Linked DNA regions of Bombyx mori. The protein of the gene in region 1 interacts with the protein of each later gene in a pairwise test. Links are inferred from orthologs where the notes say so. Each region holds a gene or a part of one and is shown on either strand. Other genes may lie near its edges.

Region 1 (6,691 bases):
CTTACTCCGTCGTCACACGAACGTCACAGCACAGCAAGTACATGTGTAATATAAAATTTTTCACTGATTTTCTGACCGGAGAACATTCTAATTAAATGATAAAGCCGACGATTCTCGCTGTTTAAATACAAACAACTTACTTATTCTTAGGTACCATAAGCACTGGTCACCGACCTCGTCGCTTGCGACGAAGGGCTCGACGAGCGAATTAACCCATAGACATAGTCCACTGAGTTTCTCGCCGGATCTTCTCAGTGGGTCGCAGTTCCGATCCAGTAGTGGATTTTGCGAAGCACTGCTCTTGCTAGGCCAGTGTTAGCGACATTTCCGGTTTGAGCCCCGTCAGCTCACCTACATGTTAGGGTGAAGCTGAAATAGCCTCTCAAGGCTATCACCATAGGTAGGAAAAAAATACCTATTTTAAGTTTTATCATCAGATTAAAATAAGTCTTCTTTCATTCCGGAGGAGAGATATGTTGGAGGCTTATATGACAGTGATTACCGTCAATGACGTTCTAGTATAGAAAGTTCTAGTATATTTTTTTAAGATGAGACCGCTACCTATATTAATTACTCTGATGTGATTGCGTGCCGATGACAGTTCACTGCATAGTTTCTTAGTTTATTTAACAGTATTCAAATGTTTTTAGTTGTAAATTTTTGATATTCTGATGATGGGCATTTTTAACTAGATAATAGCAATCGTTAATACCCATTATAGCTATAATTGTCAACTAAACGATTGTTAAATTCAGGAGAACAGTTGGATATGTTTATTTTTATTTTTTATTATTATTTAGATGAGTGAACGAACTCACAGCCCCCTGGTATTAAGTGGTATGTGAACTTTAATAGGTTCGAGCTTGTAAATTACTAGACAATAATAACTTGCGTATTTTGGCTGCGAAACAGTACAGTAGAAATTTACACCGTATGTGTCAAGGTGGATGGTGCCATTGTACCAATTACTACCAGATGGACCATAAGCTCGTTCACGGGTTTGTGCGATAAAAAAACTAATTAATTTCTTACTGCATTGGAAGCCTTCAAACTAGAGCTATGTATATGCTCTCTTCTCTTCCTGAAGTTTTAGACGTATCTCAAATAAACTAGTACAGAGTTGTGTCTTAAAGATTCAGTAGGTACTAGTTTATTCGTCTTTAACGTAAATATAAGAGTTCAAGTAATATTTTAATAATCTTCACGAATTGTAGAGCCTAGTGAGCCCACACAGGTACGTAGCGCAAGTCTATCAAGTCCTGCGCTTTGGTTTGATTTAAAATTGCTGTTATTATACAATATAGTTGAGACACCGATCTCAAGGTGAATGACCGCTTTCGTGCTGTGATGACCATGGGCTCCAATGAGCAATGCAAAGTGAACGTGTCTGCCAATTTATAATACGATAAGTTAATAATATAAATAGATAATTATCATTTATGCTTTTAAAACACTTGTCACAATCGTTTTGTGTTATGCGAGTTTTGGATGTAGGTACCCATGGGCAATCTTGTGTTGTTCCATTAATATATAATTCAATTCTAATTTATTAATATTTTTCTTAATTTCTAGTTTGGTGTCGTGATTTGGTTCTGGTTCAATAAGTTATTTTGCAAGTTAACGAAAACCTGAAATAAGGTAAGTTTTAAAAAATCATAAAAAATTTAAGTATATTTAATTCATGAAACGTAAACCACCATTATCTATTAATTAAAATAAAAGTGTTAAACTTGTCATTTTACATATATCATTTTTAATAAATAAATAAAAAAACGTCTCAATACCCGGATCTAAAGGAAATATTTACATACGAAGGCGCAATAAAAATGCGTTCAATTCTTAAGGGTAGGGCGCACCATTCATTCGTTTGACGACTTCATTTGGTCGCGCGAAGTGAACTCGCGATAATGCGCTATTGTTTACCCTCCGATAGTGCGTTGTCCACTGCATGCGCTACACAGCGCGAGACCAAGACCGCTATACACTAATCAGCCCCGCTCGGATGATAACCGTTCCGCGCTCGACGCGCTGTCCCTTTCGCTCTCGAACGGGCGCCTTAAGCAAGAGAGCAATAGAAACATCACTCGTAAAAACAGGTAGTAGAAGAAATAATAATCATCTTTACGACTTCTCACTCTATTCAGCACCTTGTTACGATACTGAACGCTCATTGTGGCACGGTCGACGAGTGGCTGTAAAATCTTTTCTTTACTCGCCCGTTTCACTAATTGTACGTTTATGAGTTTACGACTTTTGCGGCTTAACTTTTTCGTTCTATTCATTTTTGAGGCTTTTGTTGAGGCTCTTCAAAAGTTTTGTTACGCGGTCGTCCGAAGATACATAAATTGTTAAAAGAAAACATATAGTTTATAATAGGATTTGATGTTATTGAGTTCTCTCTTAAGTCATATAAATGTCAGTTATTAACCTAGGTATTCTGAAGTAGAGCAGCTAAAGTTCTAGTTTGTTTGACGAACGTTCGCCACGTGCTCGAGTGGGTGTGATAAGGAAAGGAAAAGAGAGCGTAACTGATAATATTTATAGTGATTAGCGAAAAGGGGACGGAACAATAGTCGTTGGGCTGCGATGGTAGCAGTGAGCGCGGGGCGGCGCGCGTGTCTCAGCCGCGCTCAGTACATTGCGTGAGCCGCGTCGCGCCGGTCGCACACGACACACAGCCGCGCGCTCCCGCCACACGCGACGGAAAACTTCGCTCGCGACACAAGCCTCCGGCCCATACACCACCACGATCACTTCTGATTTCATACAGTGGAGACGCGCTCTCGGCTGACGTCCTGAGACGAGCCGGCGCCGCAGACGAAACCGCTTAAAAAGTCGTAAAACCCGCGGCACGCGCTCCCGAGTCGTAAAATAATCGTAAAAAGTAAACACACGTCAACTGGCCTTTATCGCCGACGAAGCCCATTATGACGCTTTAGTGACGTTTAAGAGGCAATAAAATTAATAAAAATAAATTACGTTGTCCGTATTTGGTGTGACATTGGCGGAGGTCGCGTTATCACGGCGCGCGGGGCCGCGATGACATAAGTGTTCCCTGAGTGACGTTAGTGCCTGTGACTGGTCACGATGAACTCTTACTTCGAGCAGGGTGGTTTTTACGGGGCCCATGGAGTGCACCAGGGCGGCGGTGGTGGAGACCAGTACCGCGGCTTCCCTCTGGGCCTCACGTATGCACAGCCACACGCTTTGCACCAGCCTCGTCCTCAGGATTCACCGTACGACGCGTCTGTCGCGGCGGCCTGCAAGCTCTATGCTGGAGAGCAGCAATATCCTAAAGCAGATTGTTCAAAGCCAGGCGGTGAGCAGCAGAATGGCTATGGTGGGAAAGAAGCCTGGGGCTCAGGTCTGGGAGCACTAGTGAGGCCGGCAGCATGCACTCCTGAAGCTCGATACAGTGAGTCGTCAAGTCCTGGTAGAGCGCTTCCGTGGGGCAACCAGTGTGCACTTCCGGGATCAGCAGCATCAGCCGCGCAGCCAGTGCACCAGCAGCCTACTAACCACACTTTCTACCCTTGGATGGCCATAGCAGGTTAGTAAGTTAAAAAAAATTATCTCGATCACAACTCTATATAAATTGAATATGCAATTTCGAAAAGGGCACACCTCTGAAAATGTAAAATGTTCAGGAAATGAAAAAAAACTGATTATTTTCTAAAGCAGTGTAAAATTTAAAATATTAACTTTTGAAATATATTTTAAGTGTTAATTAGCAATTGAAAATTACGGGAATTATTATAAAATGGGTGTAGGTAAGCCTCAAAACTACATGTATATGAAAAAACGTATTTGACAAAATATGCGACATGTGCCCTTTTCGAAATTGCATATTCGATTGAAGTGTATTATTGCGATCGTAGGTGCAGTTTTTTTTTTGATAAAATTAATTGCCGAAGTCTCTACCTATTAATATTGTATATTACATATTTGTTTACAAATATCACTGAAATTTATGATTCTATATTTAAAAATATATTGCGTTTCCCATAAAAAACTCGTCAACATTTAATATACATAAGTGGAAATGAGAGGCGTAACAAAAATATGTCACGTCCGATACCCCGTAAAAATCACTAAAATGCTGCCATCCTGTTTGGCACACATAATCGGGCCACTTCAGAATCGTCCATTAATGTTTCCTAAGAGTCCAATACTAACCGGCAGGTAGCCGACAAATCAAGTGTCAATAAAAAGCACATAAAACGAACGACCCTCGTTAACACCTTATTAGTGAGACAGATTTGAGTACCATTAATAATTTTATTGCGGACAAAACTCAGGATCCTCCAAATTACTAATTTGTAACGATAAATTGATATCAGTGATTTGATCATAAAATCTTTGGTGTAGACTTCCTGAATGTTGATGGTTCGTAGCAACGGAACTGGTATATAAATTATAGAGCTATGGAACTGGATTATTTGAAATAAAGTTCTCGTGTCTTAAAATTTTTTTTGGAACAAAACTAACAAGGTTTGTGAATTAAAATACGATTTAATCTTGGACTGGACTATACGGAGATTTAGCAGAACATATTATACCTACTTTTTTTACCGGACGACAAAACACTAAAATATTTCGAGAGAATGTAAAATAAAGAGACAAATATGTTGTCGATATTTACTTGTGTTCTCTTTTCTGACCCATAACAATTTAAATTAATTTTATAAATACATTAATAAAGCTAAGAAATAAAATAAAATAAAAGTTATTTATTATTAAAAGTTGTATATTTATTTTATTACTATCTAAAAATAAATAAAACGTTTAACAATCCTTCAATACTTAACACATACTTTAAGATGAAATTTTTCAGGTTCAAAATTGATTGTGTAGGCATAAAGTAAAGCAAAAAGCGCTATTTTAGTGGCCCAACGAGGCAGGAGAGGTGCGCCCGCGCCGCCCGCCCGGGTCAATGGCCCGGTCTAGTTTTGGGCGCATTATTATTAACTTACTGCCACTGACCATTCGACAAATGACCATCCCATTAAGAGCGCTTCAATCTTCAAACATACGTTTCGGTAAACATTCAATTCATGCACTTAAAAGATAAAATAACGCTTTAAAAATGTTTTACAAAATATCTAATACGGCATATTAGTTGGTATAGATTAGAATTTAAGTCTTATAAGAATCGATTCTCTCTCATTCGTAGTAGTTTTTCTGGAAAAGAAGTCCTATTCGAATTTCGATTGAATCGATTAGTTCACCTGGGCCGGCGACGAGTAATTAATGCTACGCGTGTGGTCCCGCCTCGTCATAATTCATGCGACTTGATAAAAATTAAGTAACAGGGCCTAAAAAATAACAAAATAAAATGAGAAGTCGAACCGTCGGCTATAATTCACTGTGGGTTCACGCAACACAGGCCGCGAAACAATACAAGGACGCTTGTTGGACGTGGCATGTATGAAAAGTTCGGGCTTGTCCATGAACGGTCCCTGCTGTTCATTTGGACAGTTTGCTAATTTGTAATACCTGTAAAGTAAACCTTTTTTGGTATAAATACCTAAAACATAGGTAATTTGGTATAAATTCCTATAAATATAGAAAGAAAAAAAAATTGTGGAGCTGTAAATGTAACTAATTTAGTGAAGCAAACGATAAATACGGTATAAGTTGAAGCTCGAAATTGCAATCACATGCTCCCGATCTTACTGCTATATAATTGAGGACTTAAATTACAGGGCCGTGGACTTCTTTTTTTTAAATTTGTTACAAGCGGTTTTTAAATGGAACAAAATAAAAACAAGAAAAATTATTTGGTGGAATAATTTTCATTTTCAATCATACGACAATTATTATGACCCTTCAAACAGCGACTTGAATCTTTCTCTTCTTACTTGGTGCACATTCGTTCTGTAGAGGCTTTTACACATTCCGATTCTTCAAAACTTGATATTGAAAAATATCAATTACATATAGCAGATTATTTTACCTTATTACTGTACAAAAACAGAAATACTGTCAAAATTCCTAGTACATATTTAACCCACATATAGAGAAATCAGTAGGACAATGTAAAAAAAAACTCTTTCAATAGCTATGAGTACATGCTATCTTGTAACTTTTTTTTTATTGCTTATATGTGTGGACGAGCTCACAGCCCACCTGGTGTTAAGTGGTTACTGGAGCCCATAGAAATCTACAACGTAAATGCGCCACACACCTTGAGATATAGTTCTAAGGTCTCAGTATAGTCACAACGGCTGCCCCACCCTTCAAACCGAAACGCATTACTGCTTCACGGCAGAAATAGGAGGGGCGGTGGTACCTACCCGTGCGGACTCACAAGAGGTCCTACCACCAGTAATTACGCAAATTATAATTTTGCGGGACTGTATAAATCTAGTTAATCAGTGGTATATTTATATTTTATTTTCCTATTTAACTATCCACGTAATTTCTGTCTTTGGTACTTTTGGTATAAATTAGGAACCAAGAGGAACTAGACGGTACTGTACTATCGAGCGTAATAGTCAGGCATTCTGATTTGAAGGGTGAGGTTGTATAATACAAAGGAGATTTCAACCTCATACCTCAAGGTAGGTGTTGGCGTTCAGGTTGTGATTTCTATGGATTTTGGTAATCATTTAATGCGATATGGGCTACAAACTAAACTACATACTCTTTGCAATAAAAATAGGGGTCAGGTAATCGTGGCATAGCATAC
Region 2 (6,691 bases), on another chromosome or scaffold:
TTCCCAGCACCAGCCCCGTCCGGCTACGGACTGCACACTGTAGCATGATCTACGCACACCACACTCTAATATTCCACCATCTATAATCAAAATGTTTTCTTTAAATACAAATTATAAATTGGGCTATTCAGGTTGTCATTTGGGATAGCTCAGTGACCAATTAAGTCCCAATCACTGGACTAATTTCTACAATCCTTAATGACCGGTAATTTTTCATTTACACAAGTAGTAGTAAGTAAGTTCCGGTAGTTTTCACAAGTTCTAGACCTTATAAAAATGACTTTTACGATTTAATCTCACATTTATTATTTTAATTTTATTGTTTTCAACATTTTGAATAATTTAAGTAGTTTAGTAGTTAAGTAGTTATCATGGATATCAAAACTTGAATAAAACAACCAACTATTGTTTCCTAACTATCATTTGACGCAATGTACGTATCTACTCCAACTGGGGTTTGATTTCTACTAAATAAATAAGTACCACGACAGACGGAAGTGTGTGCTTGTGTCACATATGCTATGTTTCTTGTAACTTCTGAAAGCATTCGAAAGTTGTTGAAATTATTAAATTAAATAGATTTTTAGCATTTCATGAGTACATCTTGGTTTACAGGCATAAATATTTGTAAATTAAAAGTTAGTGACCTTGACCTAGAAGATACAGATTGTTTATCAAATAGGGCCTAATAAAAACCACGAGGACAGTACCTATTTGGTAGAGAAAAATATTTTAATATGTTTACTTCTGACAGAAATTCACATCTTTTGATATGTAATCAGCCTTATTATTTAATAGAATTCATATTACAGTCCCTTCTCTAAAATATAATTAAAGGGTCTCCAGGTAATTTCTTTTTTCTTAATGTTTAAGTGCTTTTTATTCCAAAAATATTTACTTGAAAACATATTTTTATATCAAAATGGTTATTCTAATTGAACGCTAACTAAAATTTTCAGCTTAATATAACCTTAATAGCACCTGTATAAGTGTATGCATGGCATACTCCTATAAATAATTTGTTATTAATCGGTACTCATGGCTAGAAGTTTAATTGTACTGTTATTATGTTATGTTATTAGTGTTTTGGGTGTTTAGCAGAGTCAGTCACAGTAAAGGAATAAATAATATAATAGCAATTGAACTCAGGTTTATGTAAATGTGTAATTACCAGGCGTCTCATTACTCTGTGTCAGGGTCAGCAAGTTAACATAATATCCCTTCAATGCTGGATCAGCATCAGCCAATACCACCCTGGTTAACTTCTTAGCATGAGCCCTTTCTAGGGTCCTTGTAACACTTGGCGTGTGTGGTAACCATTGACCATTTGACTGCCACTCCCATACTACAACGCAGTGGACTGAAGACATTGTTCATTCCATGTTGACTAGAAATCCAAAAAAATAATTTTATAAAACTGAACCAAAAGCAAAATCAATGTATATAATTAAATATAATTGTTAAATATAAAAACCCCATTCCAATCAATTAACAATTTAACATACAAATATTGATTAGTTATGAATATAGTTAGCTGATTACTGTCATTAGATCAAACAAGTTTCGTACCTAAGAAGGAAACAGTATCATATGTACTATATGAGTCGACTATTATCAAAGGTGGCAATCTGACTTTTGGACAATGATTGGTAAATCAGAAAAACGAATTATTGACTTTGTATTCCATTGGCAGTCACAAAACTCTTCGGAACGACATCTTAGATAAATAACAGGTTAACTATTAACCTTTATTTAATGCAGGTTTTGAACCGTATTCTTTGAAGGAGACGATTATATTCAAATAAATCTGTATTGACATATCAATAAAAATTTTTTGTCCAAATGTACAGATTGCCGCCTTTGATAATAGACGACTCATATAGTCTTTTAAATATTTTAAATGATACAATAAAATAGTCAAAATGGCATGTTAATACCATGAGTGCATATGAAGACACTACTAGAGAAGTTAAAGTTCTGGAATGATATTCCTTCATTAAGAAGTTGTTCGTGAACATGCATTAAGTATTTCCTTATAATAATTGGTACTGGTGTAAAAATACATTAGGCAGTTCATTTATTACGCGACGAAGACTTCATGTATGCAGTTGGATTATTTATTGTATTCCAATAAATTTTGCTTTAAAATTATGTTGATAAACAATTTAATACACTTTCTTACTGAAAAATATTACAATATTTTATACTTACAGGTCCAGTTCCACATTTGAAAATTATGATCTCAATAGAGCAATAAATTCAAAATTAAGATAACGAAGAAAGCTACAGGAATGCTAAACCAATTTGTTTGTTTGTTTCACAATCGCTACTGGTCATTTTCTATTCATATTTCTCAAACATACCCAAATTCATTTACATCAAAATTGCTTTTAAAGTGATACTAAATGTTGAATTGAGTGTACTATTTCCTGAATTAAGTAACATTTTTGTTCTAAGTCACTAATTTTAAAGATTAAATAAAATCGTTGCAATTCTGTACCTATGTACCAGTTTCAACATAGCTTCATAGCCCTGACGCTGTCGAATACTGTCAATGATTTGACAGTCTTGTATATTTCAAAAGCCGAAGGAGTATTCGTGCTAGCGTTAGTGTTAATGTCCGAGATTCTCTCGAGCCCGTGAGTGTGCTCAACCTATCCCTATTCCAATAACCTATGGCTATTCCAATAACGTTATGACGATTGGTGAGCCCCGTTGGCCTACCCAAAGCTGTTGAAAGCCCACGGTTTTTTCATACCTAATTGCTTAGGTAGGGAAAAAAGTCTGAAAACGAAAATAGTAAATTGAAGTTGTCACAGCCAGAGTCTTGACCGTATGAGCGAAGTTTCTTTTGCATCTTTAATTGAACCACCAAATTAAAATAAAGCATCGATCAATTTTAATCAAATATGTGCAGAATCTGCAGAATCCAAGTCACATTTTAATGTTTTAAAAAGTACCTGCATCGAAGTTCGTTCGTACCTGCATCGAATTGCAGATACACAAACATTGATACATGCATACTATTGAAAAAAAATCACACATATCTCGCAATGAAGTAGGAAACCTAATAGGTCTATGATATCTCGTTATGGCGTTTTTACAACGTAAGTAGGTAGATCAGATATTTTTGTTGACAGTATGAATAACACATTTCATTTTAAATCGTACACAGCTATTAAGACGAAATTACAATTGACAAAATGACATTATGATAACAACATACTTTATCTCATTACATTGAGTAATTTACGTGAACTTAACTTTCTAATTAATCATTTACTCATCGATAATTTACTGGTCCTTTGTACATTAGTGTCCAACGCGAATTAATGCGATATTTATGACCAGAACGAGTGGCGTGAGACGAGCTTCCGAAGCTTTATGAAACCGCTCGAAACTTATGATTGATTCCATTCGAGTGAGCTGCTTAGAGGTTACCAAATAGTGATCAAATCTCTTGTCTGTAAATTACTTTGATGATCATCCAAACTAACAATGGACCACTATAAAATGAAAAATGAGAAATATAATGATCTTAAGGTCTACTTGTCACACTTGATGCTTTTCATTTCTTTTAAGTAACACTGATTTGCAAAATGTTGTATAATAGGACAACAAAATGTTGTACAAATATTAAATCTGGTCATTAAATGGATTGTTCAAACTGAGTGATATAAAATTATGAATACCATTGTTGACATTATGTTTGTTGGAAAAGTCATATTATTAACAATGTATAATAATATAATATAATAATATAGGTGTTACTTGCCTGGAGATATGTCAAAAAATGTGTTGTTTACATGAGCACCAGGCTCATCACAAACCAGGAGAAGTGGGGATTGCTCATGAGGTGCATAACATCTGCTCACAGCAATGATACTGAATGACTATCACAACTGCTCTGACAAGAGTGATATGACAAGGAATAGGAATACATTACATAATGTGAAAAAGTCTACACAATTAATTTTAAGAATTGATTATAAATGTTAAAAAAACACAAAAACTAAGAACTACAGTGTAAAATTACCTATTTATATATCCTTAAAAAATGTGTTGAATTTTCTATTTATTTCTACAGACAAGGGTCGGGCCGCCAATCATTTCAACCTCGAGATGGATTCTGCAGTATCTGATGAGGTAAATCTAGAAAATATGACTCAGAATATTAGATCTCATAATTTATGTTATTGCTTACGGTGCAAAATAAGAGCTATGTTAGAAGCTATAGTATTGTCTAGGACACCACCAGAGTATTATTACCTTACCTTATAGTTACTTTCATAATGAAATAACTATCAATGAAAAAATGAAAAAGTCTTGACAAGAAGCAGGAAAGAATAATGAAAGTTTGTGATTACATACTGTGAAAGAAGTTTGAATCATTGTTAATAAGAATTAAACTTTTTTTTTTGGTTTCATACTGATATCCAGAGATTATTATCAGTGATGTGTATAGGTTACCTGTAACATATAATCATAGAATGTATGATGTATGATGATGAAAATTGGCAAGTCATAACAATTTAAACTTTACTTGCAACCACTCCAACAAAATGACACATATTTAATATAAGTTTTGCCAAATTTCATCTGGAAATTAGTGAACGATATAAATAGGCTTGTATAGGAGTAAACAAAGAAGGGTTAAAACACTTCTTTGTTTGAAAAAAATCTATATTTTTTTTCATGTCTTTTTATGATCAAGTAAGTTAATTATAACAAGATGCTATCATAGGTCAATTAAAATTAAAATAATTTGAAAAATATAATGCTTTACATTACAAAAGAAAATATTTTTTATTAAAAATAAAATGTTGACTAAGGGACATTTTTTAAATGTTCGTATTAATCATTTAACATATATACATATTACAGTAATACCCATCTAAAACCCTTTTTCTCTATATATTATATACTACATAAGATTTTGAACAAAAACAATGCTAAACATTAAGTGACAAAATAATTTATTACTACAGCTTCATGTGTGGTGAGTTCTACTGAAGATATGAAGGCAATGGTTGCTCTCTGATTGTGCGGGGGTTAATTGTACAACATGTTGTTAATAATGTACATATTATGTACTTGTTAACGACATGGCTGAACTGGACAGTTGTGTTATTGCTTCAGTAAAATTAAGAATTTATTTCAGTACACAGTAGCAGTTTGAAGCATTTTTACATAGCGGTTGTGTATGTCATAATGCGTATATCAACCCGAAACTTGACTATCTTCTATCTTCTTCTTCTATCTATATGATATGAAGATCATATGAGGCCTATAAAATCAAAGGCAGCTAAACGCCTTAATTTCGTAAAATTGATTAACAATAGCGCTATCTTGCTTAGTTAGTTGGACACGCTTTAGTGTTTTCATGTTATAACAAATGCAGCTAAATCTCTAACAAATTCAGTTCAAAAAATTTATTTTTACTCCGTACTAAGTACTAATAAACGAAGATTTATCATTTAAAATTCAGATTATTAGTAATATTCTCATTCTTTATACATCTGCTTTAAAATAAAGAATATCGTAGCTATCCGAACACAGTTATTTCAGCTTCTCAAACCGGGAGTGTTTCTAACACTTGTCCTAGCAAGAGCAGTACTTCGATGGATCGGGAGGATCCGTAAAGACGTGTTTAGGGCTGATTTTTGTAGTTTACCTGAATATTTGACAGACTTGGATTTAGCTGCCTTTGATTTTATAGGCCTCATATAAAAAGGAATTGGTGTTCGTTAGTCTCGCTAAAACTCGAGAACGGCTGGACCGATTTGGCTAATTTTGGTCTTGAATTATTTGTGGAAGTCCAGAGAAGGTTATAGGTGGATAACAAGGAAAATGCTCAGAATTAAATAAAAATAATAATTTTGATTTCCCCTTCCTTTTGTTTGTTTTAAGTTTATTTTATACAAAAGTTTAGGTCTTTTATTTATCGATTGAGGCACTACGAAGTCTGCCGGGTCAGCTATCAATAATATATATCACGTTAAAATGTAAAAAAAACTTAGTTATAATTAATAAATGCTACAACGGAACTTCATACAAAAACTAATATATTTATTGTTTCAACTGTTTGATGACAGCCCTAAATATAAGCAATAAAAGTACCGTTAGGCCGTTCATTCAGCTCAATGCCTCAGAACGAGGACAAATTCGTTTAACACATAAGAAACAACGAATACGAAAAAAAAAAAGTGTGGTGTCGTGGGACACCGGATAGGAACGAAGTTCCTTATTATAAAAATATTAATTTTAAATACAATTAGAGGTACAAAGAAAATAAAACTGGAGGTTTCGCAACAACCCATGGGTCATTCGGTAGCGTGCGAACTTTTTGTGGTACACTTCATTCACGGTTGTTTGCATAAGAGTTAGTGTATTGCACAAACGAACGCTCTGAGATCGTGGTCAATGAATGAAAAAAATTATGTTATTTTTTGTACGTTATTACAAAGTTAAGTCGTACATTGTGTGCATTACTAATTTGTACGTCATTACAAAGTCAGTCGTACACTGTGTGCATTACTAATAAAGATCTTACGTTACGGACGATTACCGGCGTCGGAGGAGTGTATGTGTGTTTCAATTAGCTGAAATCATGTGTACCTTTTTTATTTCGGAGAACCCGCTCAATCAGGCCTGTCGAGTTATCGAGTCTGCTGCGTTTTCGTGTAACCTC
Region 3 (6,691 bases), on another chromosome or scaffold:
TACTGCATGATATAAGCTTTTGCTGTTGACATATCTGGTACTTCATATTCATCTTCAGAGTCTGAATAATCTGTATCAGTTAAACAGGATGTCCAAGAATCATCAGTCTTCGAATTATAAGTAGCTGTGTCAGTTTCACTTACACATTCCATAGACATTTTAATGGCCATCTCTAAATCACATTCAAGTTCATCTTTAACTGGTGACTTTTCTTTTTCAATATTTATTTCTTCTACCCTATTACTCGTGCTTGCTTGATCTTTGGCGTCGTTTCTTTGCTTAGCTTCAGCTAAAGCTTGCTTTATGTTATTTATAAGTAAGAATCTTGTATTATCATTGGACGCTATTCTTTTTGTCGGTAATGTATCAACATTAGTATCAATACCTTCCTCGTTAAGTAGTGATTCTAAATCTTTTAATGACATTCCTGTAACACCCATTTCTTTCTCAGTTTCTTCAAAACATTCCTGTAGTTTCCTTCGTTTTAACAATCTTTGCATCTAAGTGAAAGAAAAGAATCAAATATGTTAGTTATTGGGACAAAAAAGTAATTTAGAAAAAGTAGTAGTTTTTGTCTCATGTATGTTTCACACACATGAAAAATTCTTGCTTGAGGCCATTGAATGTAGAACTTTCTTTCAGCTACTTTACTTACCTGGAAATCAGAAAAACTGTCACTTTTCTTTGGTAATTCATGTAATCTTCCCCAAGAATTCATTTTTCTTGTTTCTTTTAACTCTACAAGTAGATCATACTTCTCTTTAAGAGGCATGTTTTTGAAATGTTCAGAGTTTAGATCCATTGAATGTAGATCAACAGAGGAGCCACTTGAACTTTCTTCCTCAGAACTACAATGTAAATTTTAATCATATAAGTATTATTAGTACTTAAAATTGAAACCTGAAAACACTGAAATGGAAATAATAAATTAGTGATAGAAATGATAGAGATATATCTAAGAAATTTGAAGAAAATCACAGTAATTTAATTTTTTTTTATAAAACATAAAAATTTTAAAAAATCATCAAAAATTTGAAATGTAACAATGTAATTGGTTATTTCATTTTACATACTCTGATTCACTCTCCTGGTTCTTCTTCGGGAGTTCTGGCAATTTGAATATATTATCTTCATTTTCAGTTTGAGCTACATTCTTTTTTGGTGAAATCTGCTTTCCAAGCAAACTGTTGATAGCAGTTTTTTTGCTTAAAAGAAGAGCTAATTCTCTCTTTATTCTTTCAGATTCTGAATTATATTTCGCCTTGTGATCTTGTCTTTTAGACTAAAAATAAATTATTTGATAATAGTTTAATGGTGGTTTAGTTAGAAAGTAAATTCTTTCTCAGCATTATTATTTTAACATGATAAAGGCTTATATTATAGAAGGATGCAATTGTTATTGATGCATTATTATTCAAATTTATGAAAATAGCTACTACTACTATATTACTATTCTCTGTCAACTGCCCTTAGTAAAAGTAGTAATATTAAGCTACACTTCCTACTTGTTTCTATTATAATTAAACAGATATATTTCAGGTCTACTTTTGCTAAAGGGATAAACAAGACAATACAGGAAAAAAGAAGTAAGCTACATGTACTGAAACACGTTTAAGCATCTTACTTCTGAGCAGTAATGTTATTCTAAAAAAAGCTTAAAACATAACTAACAATTGTTTCTTTCTTCAAGTCTGGAAAGCCACCATCAAAGACGAAAATTGGTTTTATCCTGAAGTAGAGAAGTTTGCAAAGCCGTTGGAACAAGCCCATCAAGTGAGCATTTGCTAAAGGGGCTCCTTTGGCATCTTGGTAACCTTTCACCATCTGGTGCAACCATATTGAGATGTCTGAGAAACATTAGTTCATACATTACAATTGTATTTTTAAATGCCATTATGTGTTTGTAATAATTTTATAAGGCCTTACCAACAGCTAAAACCTTATTTTCCAACGTTTCTACTGGAACTGGCTTTCCTGTCGGTTCAATCAACCGCCACAATCCAGTGACTCCCATCGTTACCGATAAGAGTAGCTCCGACCGAACTTTTTTTGTTTACACTAATGTATATAAATATAAATCAGAGTACATAACAAAGGTCGTTTCCCACGGGTTCTTCGGTCAATCGTCGCTCTCTTCCTCACACATTGTAACTTTTCAACATATGAATCACTGTTTACTACACACACTATCAAATGAAACTATAATTTGAGTTAGTGGAGACTGGGTGTTTTACTAGTTACTACACACGCTGCGACCGCCGACCGCCTACTCTTTCCCACACATTATTTTCTCACGCCCCACGCGGCGTAACCCCACATCCTACTACGACCGTCGGCGGCTTTCAGTCAGCTTCGTCAGTCGGTCTGCTTCGCATTCGAGGATTTCATTGTTGTTTCGCACGCGTAGATGTAAATTATTGGAAAGCAAATTGCTTGCACTTCAGATTGCTTAAACGGTGTCTATGTCAATCTATCTATGGTCAGATTTGACAGATTGGTATTTGGCGTTGTCGGACGTAAACTTGAGAAATAAACAGAAGTTTGATAAAATCGTACATTTATCAAGAAAGCGGAACAAACGAAAATTTAAGCAAATACAAAAGTTCGCTAACAGTTTATCAAATTCTTTTCCTAAACTTGGAACCGGTAAATTTAGTGACTCGTCTGAAAATTCCAATGTTGAACAGGTGTTTTTGAATGAAACGTGTGCTAGTTCCCACCGTAATTAATTTTTAGTGGCGTGAATAATATAACAGAAAAAGGGATCGAGCGACTTCCCAATCGATTTACAAAAGTGCCTCTAATCAAGCATCCAGTGCGACTGCTGTAGTGTGCTACAGATCCTCTGTTATGGAGATGTAATCATGGTGCCTTGGAGAAGAGATCACTCCACATAGTTTTTCGAACAATGCCGTTGAAGATATGAGGGTAGGCTGATGGTGATTTAGCCGTGGCTAGCATGCCGCACCAGTACGGCGGCGGCGCGGGCGGTGCGTCGCCGCCAGCGCCGGTGGGCGCGTACCCTCGCTACGCCAGCGCAGCTGGTCCTGGCGCTGGCGCCTATCGTCCCGAAGAACGACGTCTCACCCGTGAGGCCATGGAGAGATATTTACGTGATCGCTCTGATATGGTAGTTGTAATTTTACATGCAAAAGTAGCACAGAAATCTTATGGAAATGAAAAACGTTTTTTTTGCCCGCCTCCATGTATATACCTCTTTGGTGATGGATGGCGCCTCCGGCGAGAACGCATGCTAAGAGAGGGAGAAACGGAACAGGCAGCTCAACTGTGTGCATTCATTGGGATTGGTAATTCAGACCAAGACATGCAACAATTGGATCTCAACAATGGTAAACAGTATTGTGCTGCAAAAACCTTGTACATATCTGATTCAGATAAACGAAAACACTTTATGCTATCTGTAAAAATGTTCTATGGAAATGGACATGATATTGGTATATTCAACAGTAAAAGAATTAAAGTAATTTCAAAGCCTTCCAAAAAGAAGCAGTCATTAAAAAATGCTGACTTATGTATAGCTAGTGGAACAAAGGTAGCTCTATTTAACAGACTAAGGTCACAGACAGTGTCAACCAGATATTTGCATGTGGAAAATGGTAATTTTCATGCATCATCTACCCAATGGGGGGCATTTACTATTCATCTACTGGATGATAATGAGAGTGAGTCTGAAGAGTTTGCAGTGAGAGATGGATATGTTCACTATGGATCTACAGTAAAACTAGTCTGTTCTGTGACTGGTATGGCTTTACCAAGGCTTATTATTAGAAAGGTGATTAAAGTTATAGTTTACCTGAATATTTGACAGACTTGGATTTAGCTGCCTTTGATTTTATAGGCCTCAATTATTCATTATGTAGAATTTTCACATCATTAAGGCTAATCACATCAAGTTAAATTTAATTTTCATTTTAAGAATATAGATTTTAACATTTAATAAATAGATAAAAAACATTTATAAATATAATAGCATATTTGATTTTTAGGTAGATAAACAAATGGCTTTACTAGAGGCTGATGATCCAGTATCGCAGCTACACAAATGTGCTTTTTATATGAAGGATACGGAGAGAATGTATCTATGCCTATCCCAGGAACGAATTATACAGTTCCAGGCAACTCCATGCCCTAAAGAACCCAATAAGGAAATGATAAATGATGGAGCTTGCTGGACCATAATTTCGACTGATAAGGCTGAATACCAATTTTATGAAGGAATGGGACCCGTTAGGTAATATTCCAAAACTATTTGAAATAGAATAGTATTTCATAAAACTAAAATACTTAGTTAAACTATTTGTTTATTAAAGAAGGACATATTTATTAACAATAAAGTTTTTGTTACACCATATTTTTGATAAAACACTATTTTATTGTTAAAAAAATTATTGCCACATTGTCATGACCTTGTTCTATTTAAAAGTTTTCAAAATTTAATCTAGCTAAATCTAACATTTGTTCTCATTTCAAGAGTTAAGATGACTCTTACTAAAACAATAAAAAACACAATCATCCTCAACCTCATTCATGGGTCACAGACTCACCCTCCAAACTTATGTCCTAAAGTATTTTCAAAAATTAAACTATTCAAACTATAAATATGTTTGTATAACATGCTACTACTATATTTGTTTTTCTCATGCACTGTGGCAGTTATCAAATGACCAACAAACTATATTGATAAATATAAATGCTCTTTATTGCTGGAACTTAATGTAAACATTTGATTCGAATATCAATACTGTTTTGTATTCATTAGGTTATTGATGCAATGCATTAGGTTGAAATGCAAGGAGTTTCCAATTATAAAAATATTTTTTTTAAATGATAACTATTTACTATACTATATGTAACTATACTTGAGACCTTAGAACTTATATCTCAAGGTGTGTGGTGCATTTACGTTGTAGATGTCTATGGGCTCCAGTATCCACTTAACACCAGGTGGGCTGTGAGCTCGTCCACACATACAGGCAATAAAAAAAAATAAAAAAAATGCCTTACTAAAACATTTTTATAAAAGCCAAAGATAATAAATGTTCTAAAAAAAATCCCTTTTTTATAAATACATATGTACATACAGACTTTCATTCGTTACATTTTATCAACTTCAATGAAAAAAAAATACATATACAAAAAATTATTTATTGGCTTTTAAAGGCTTATTTTATTTATCCAAATAATTATTGAAAAATCTGAGTAGTGTATGTTAAAAAAAAACGAATTTTTGTCTTTGTGAAAGCATAGTTAGGTATAGGTTAGGCATAGGTTTCTCTATAAAAAAGGATATAACTAGGACACACCTAAACTATGTATTTAACTTTCTATTTAAACTTACTAATATTCTTGCCTCATAGGTCACCAGTAACACCGGTACCCTTGGTGCACTCATTAAATCTCAACGGGGGTGGCGATGTTGCCATGTTAGAATTGGCTGGAGATAATTTCACACCTTCCCTACAAGTGTGGTTTGGTGATGTTGAAGCGGAAACAATGTACAGATGTGCTGAGTCCATGCTGTGCGTAGTTCCAGATATATCACAATTCAGAGGGCAGTGGCTGTGGGTCCGGCAGCCTACGCAGGTAGGTTTAAATGTAACTCAAAAATATTTCATGCATATGCTTTATCGTTTTTCTGTTATCTAACGTTGACTTGTGTGGTTCACAATAAAATTTCTTATTAATTTTAAACGATTTTATATTAATAATTGCAACAAATTTCAAATAATACAAACAAGAACATTAAAAAAAATTGTTTTTTCTCTGGGTATTTCTGAACACGTTTTTAACAACGCACACTGTGTTCAATGATTATCTAGATGCTTATTCTTATTTTTTGAAACAATTTGAATATAGATTTTTATTTATGTAGACGAAAAAAGACAAATCTTCCACCAAACCTACTTGTTAAAGCAAGCACACATCAGAACTATTTTGTGTTAAGTTAAAAGATAATTAGAGGAATAGAGACATAAAAACTATTTAAGGAATTGTATTTTCTTTGGTTTATTGACATAGTTAAAACTGCCTATATGGACCATCGGACGTGACCATATAAACTGTAAATTGTTTCAAACGTCGGAAATAATGTAACGATAACAATAGACGGGAGATTAAACCGCAAAAGTAGTTTGAATTATATTAGAGACTAGCGACCCGCCCTCGCTTCGCTTCGGAAACATTAAATTTTATTATTGATAGAAGAGTCCCGCCATGTTGCGCGCGGTACGACAATAACTGCGGGTGACCCCGCGAGGCGAAGCTAGTCTAAAAAAGTACCCTAAGTTACTTCTTATATCATTAGCTACCTATTAGTGAAAGTCTCATCAAAATCGGTCCAGCCGTTCCAGAGATTAGCCGGAACAAACAGACAGACAGACAAAAATTGTAAAAATTGACATTTTGGTGTATGTACCGTATATATATATATTCATATGCATGTAGTAAAAAGCGGTTATTTTAGTATTACAAACAGACACTCTAATTTTATTTATATGTATAGATTTGTTGCATTTCGGTTTTGAAGGCTGGGAAGTAAATGATCGCTTAGCATATAGTTCGCCTTTAATTCCAGGTTCCTGTATCATTAGTTCGCAACGACGGTATAATATACGCAACGGGGTTGACGTTCACGTACACGCCGGAGCCGGCGCCGCGGCCGGTGTGCCCG

Evidence for each region.
Region 2: the proteins of Ubx (region 1) and uncharacterized protein LOC101741377 interact in a two-hybrid assay, tested with the Drosophila melanogaster proteins (2 studies listed by BioGRID). The link is inferred for Bombyx mori from reciprocal best matches to the Drosophila melanogaster genes Ubx and DIP1.
Region 3: the proteins of Ubx (region 1) and suppressor of hairless protein interact in a protein complementation assay, tested with the Drosophila melanogaster proteins (2 studies listed by BioGRID). The link is inferred for Bombyx mori from reciprocal best matches to the Drosophila melanogaster genes Ubx and Su(H).

The regions. Positions count from the first base shown.
Region 1 is NC_085112.1:6,103,178-6,109,868, reverse strand, and holds the start of Ubx (ultrabithorax), read left to right. Parts: upstream 1-3,087; coding exon 3,088-3,550; intron 3,551-6,691. UniProt on the Drosophila melanogaster protein: Sequence-specific transcription factor which is part of a developmental regulatory system that provides cells with specific positional identities on the anterior-posterior axis. Binds the consensus region 5'-TTAAT[GT][GA]-3'.
Region 2 is NC_085114.1:16,022,477-16,029,167, forward strand, and holds the start of uncharacterized protein LOC101741377, read left to right. Parts: upstream 1-2,872; 5' UTR 2,873-3,016; coding exon 3,017-3,050; exon of another isoform or gene 3,051-3,083; coding exon 3,084-3,107; exon of another isoform or gene 3,108-3,111; intron 3,112-3,184; exon of another isoform or gene 3,185-3,436; intron 3,437-4,087; coding exon 4,088-4,146; intron 4,147-6,691. Other genes in the region: protein deltex, read right to left, coding at 1-80, 1,172-1,370.
Region 3 is NC_085110.1:14,560,924-14,567,614, reverse strand, and holds the start of suppressor of hairless protein, read left to right. Parts: upstream 1-2,767; 5' UTR 2,768-2,959; coding exon 2,960-3,793; intron 3,794-4,007; coding exon 4,008-4,252; intron 4,253-5,378; coding exon 5,379-5,604; intron 5,605-6,595; coding exon 6,596-6,691. Other genes in the region: DNA excision repair protein ERCC-5, read right to left, coding at 1-500, 656-848, 1,074-1,282, 1,672-1,847, 1,927-2,014. UniProt on the Drosophila melanogaster protein: Transcriptional regulator that plays a central role in Notch signaling, a signaling pathway involved in cell-cell communication that regulates a broad spectrum of cell-fate determinations.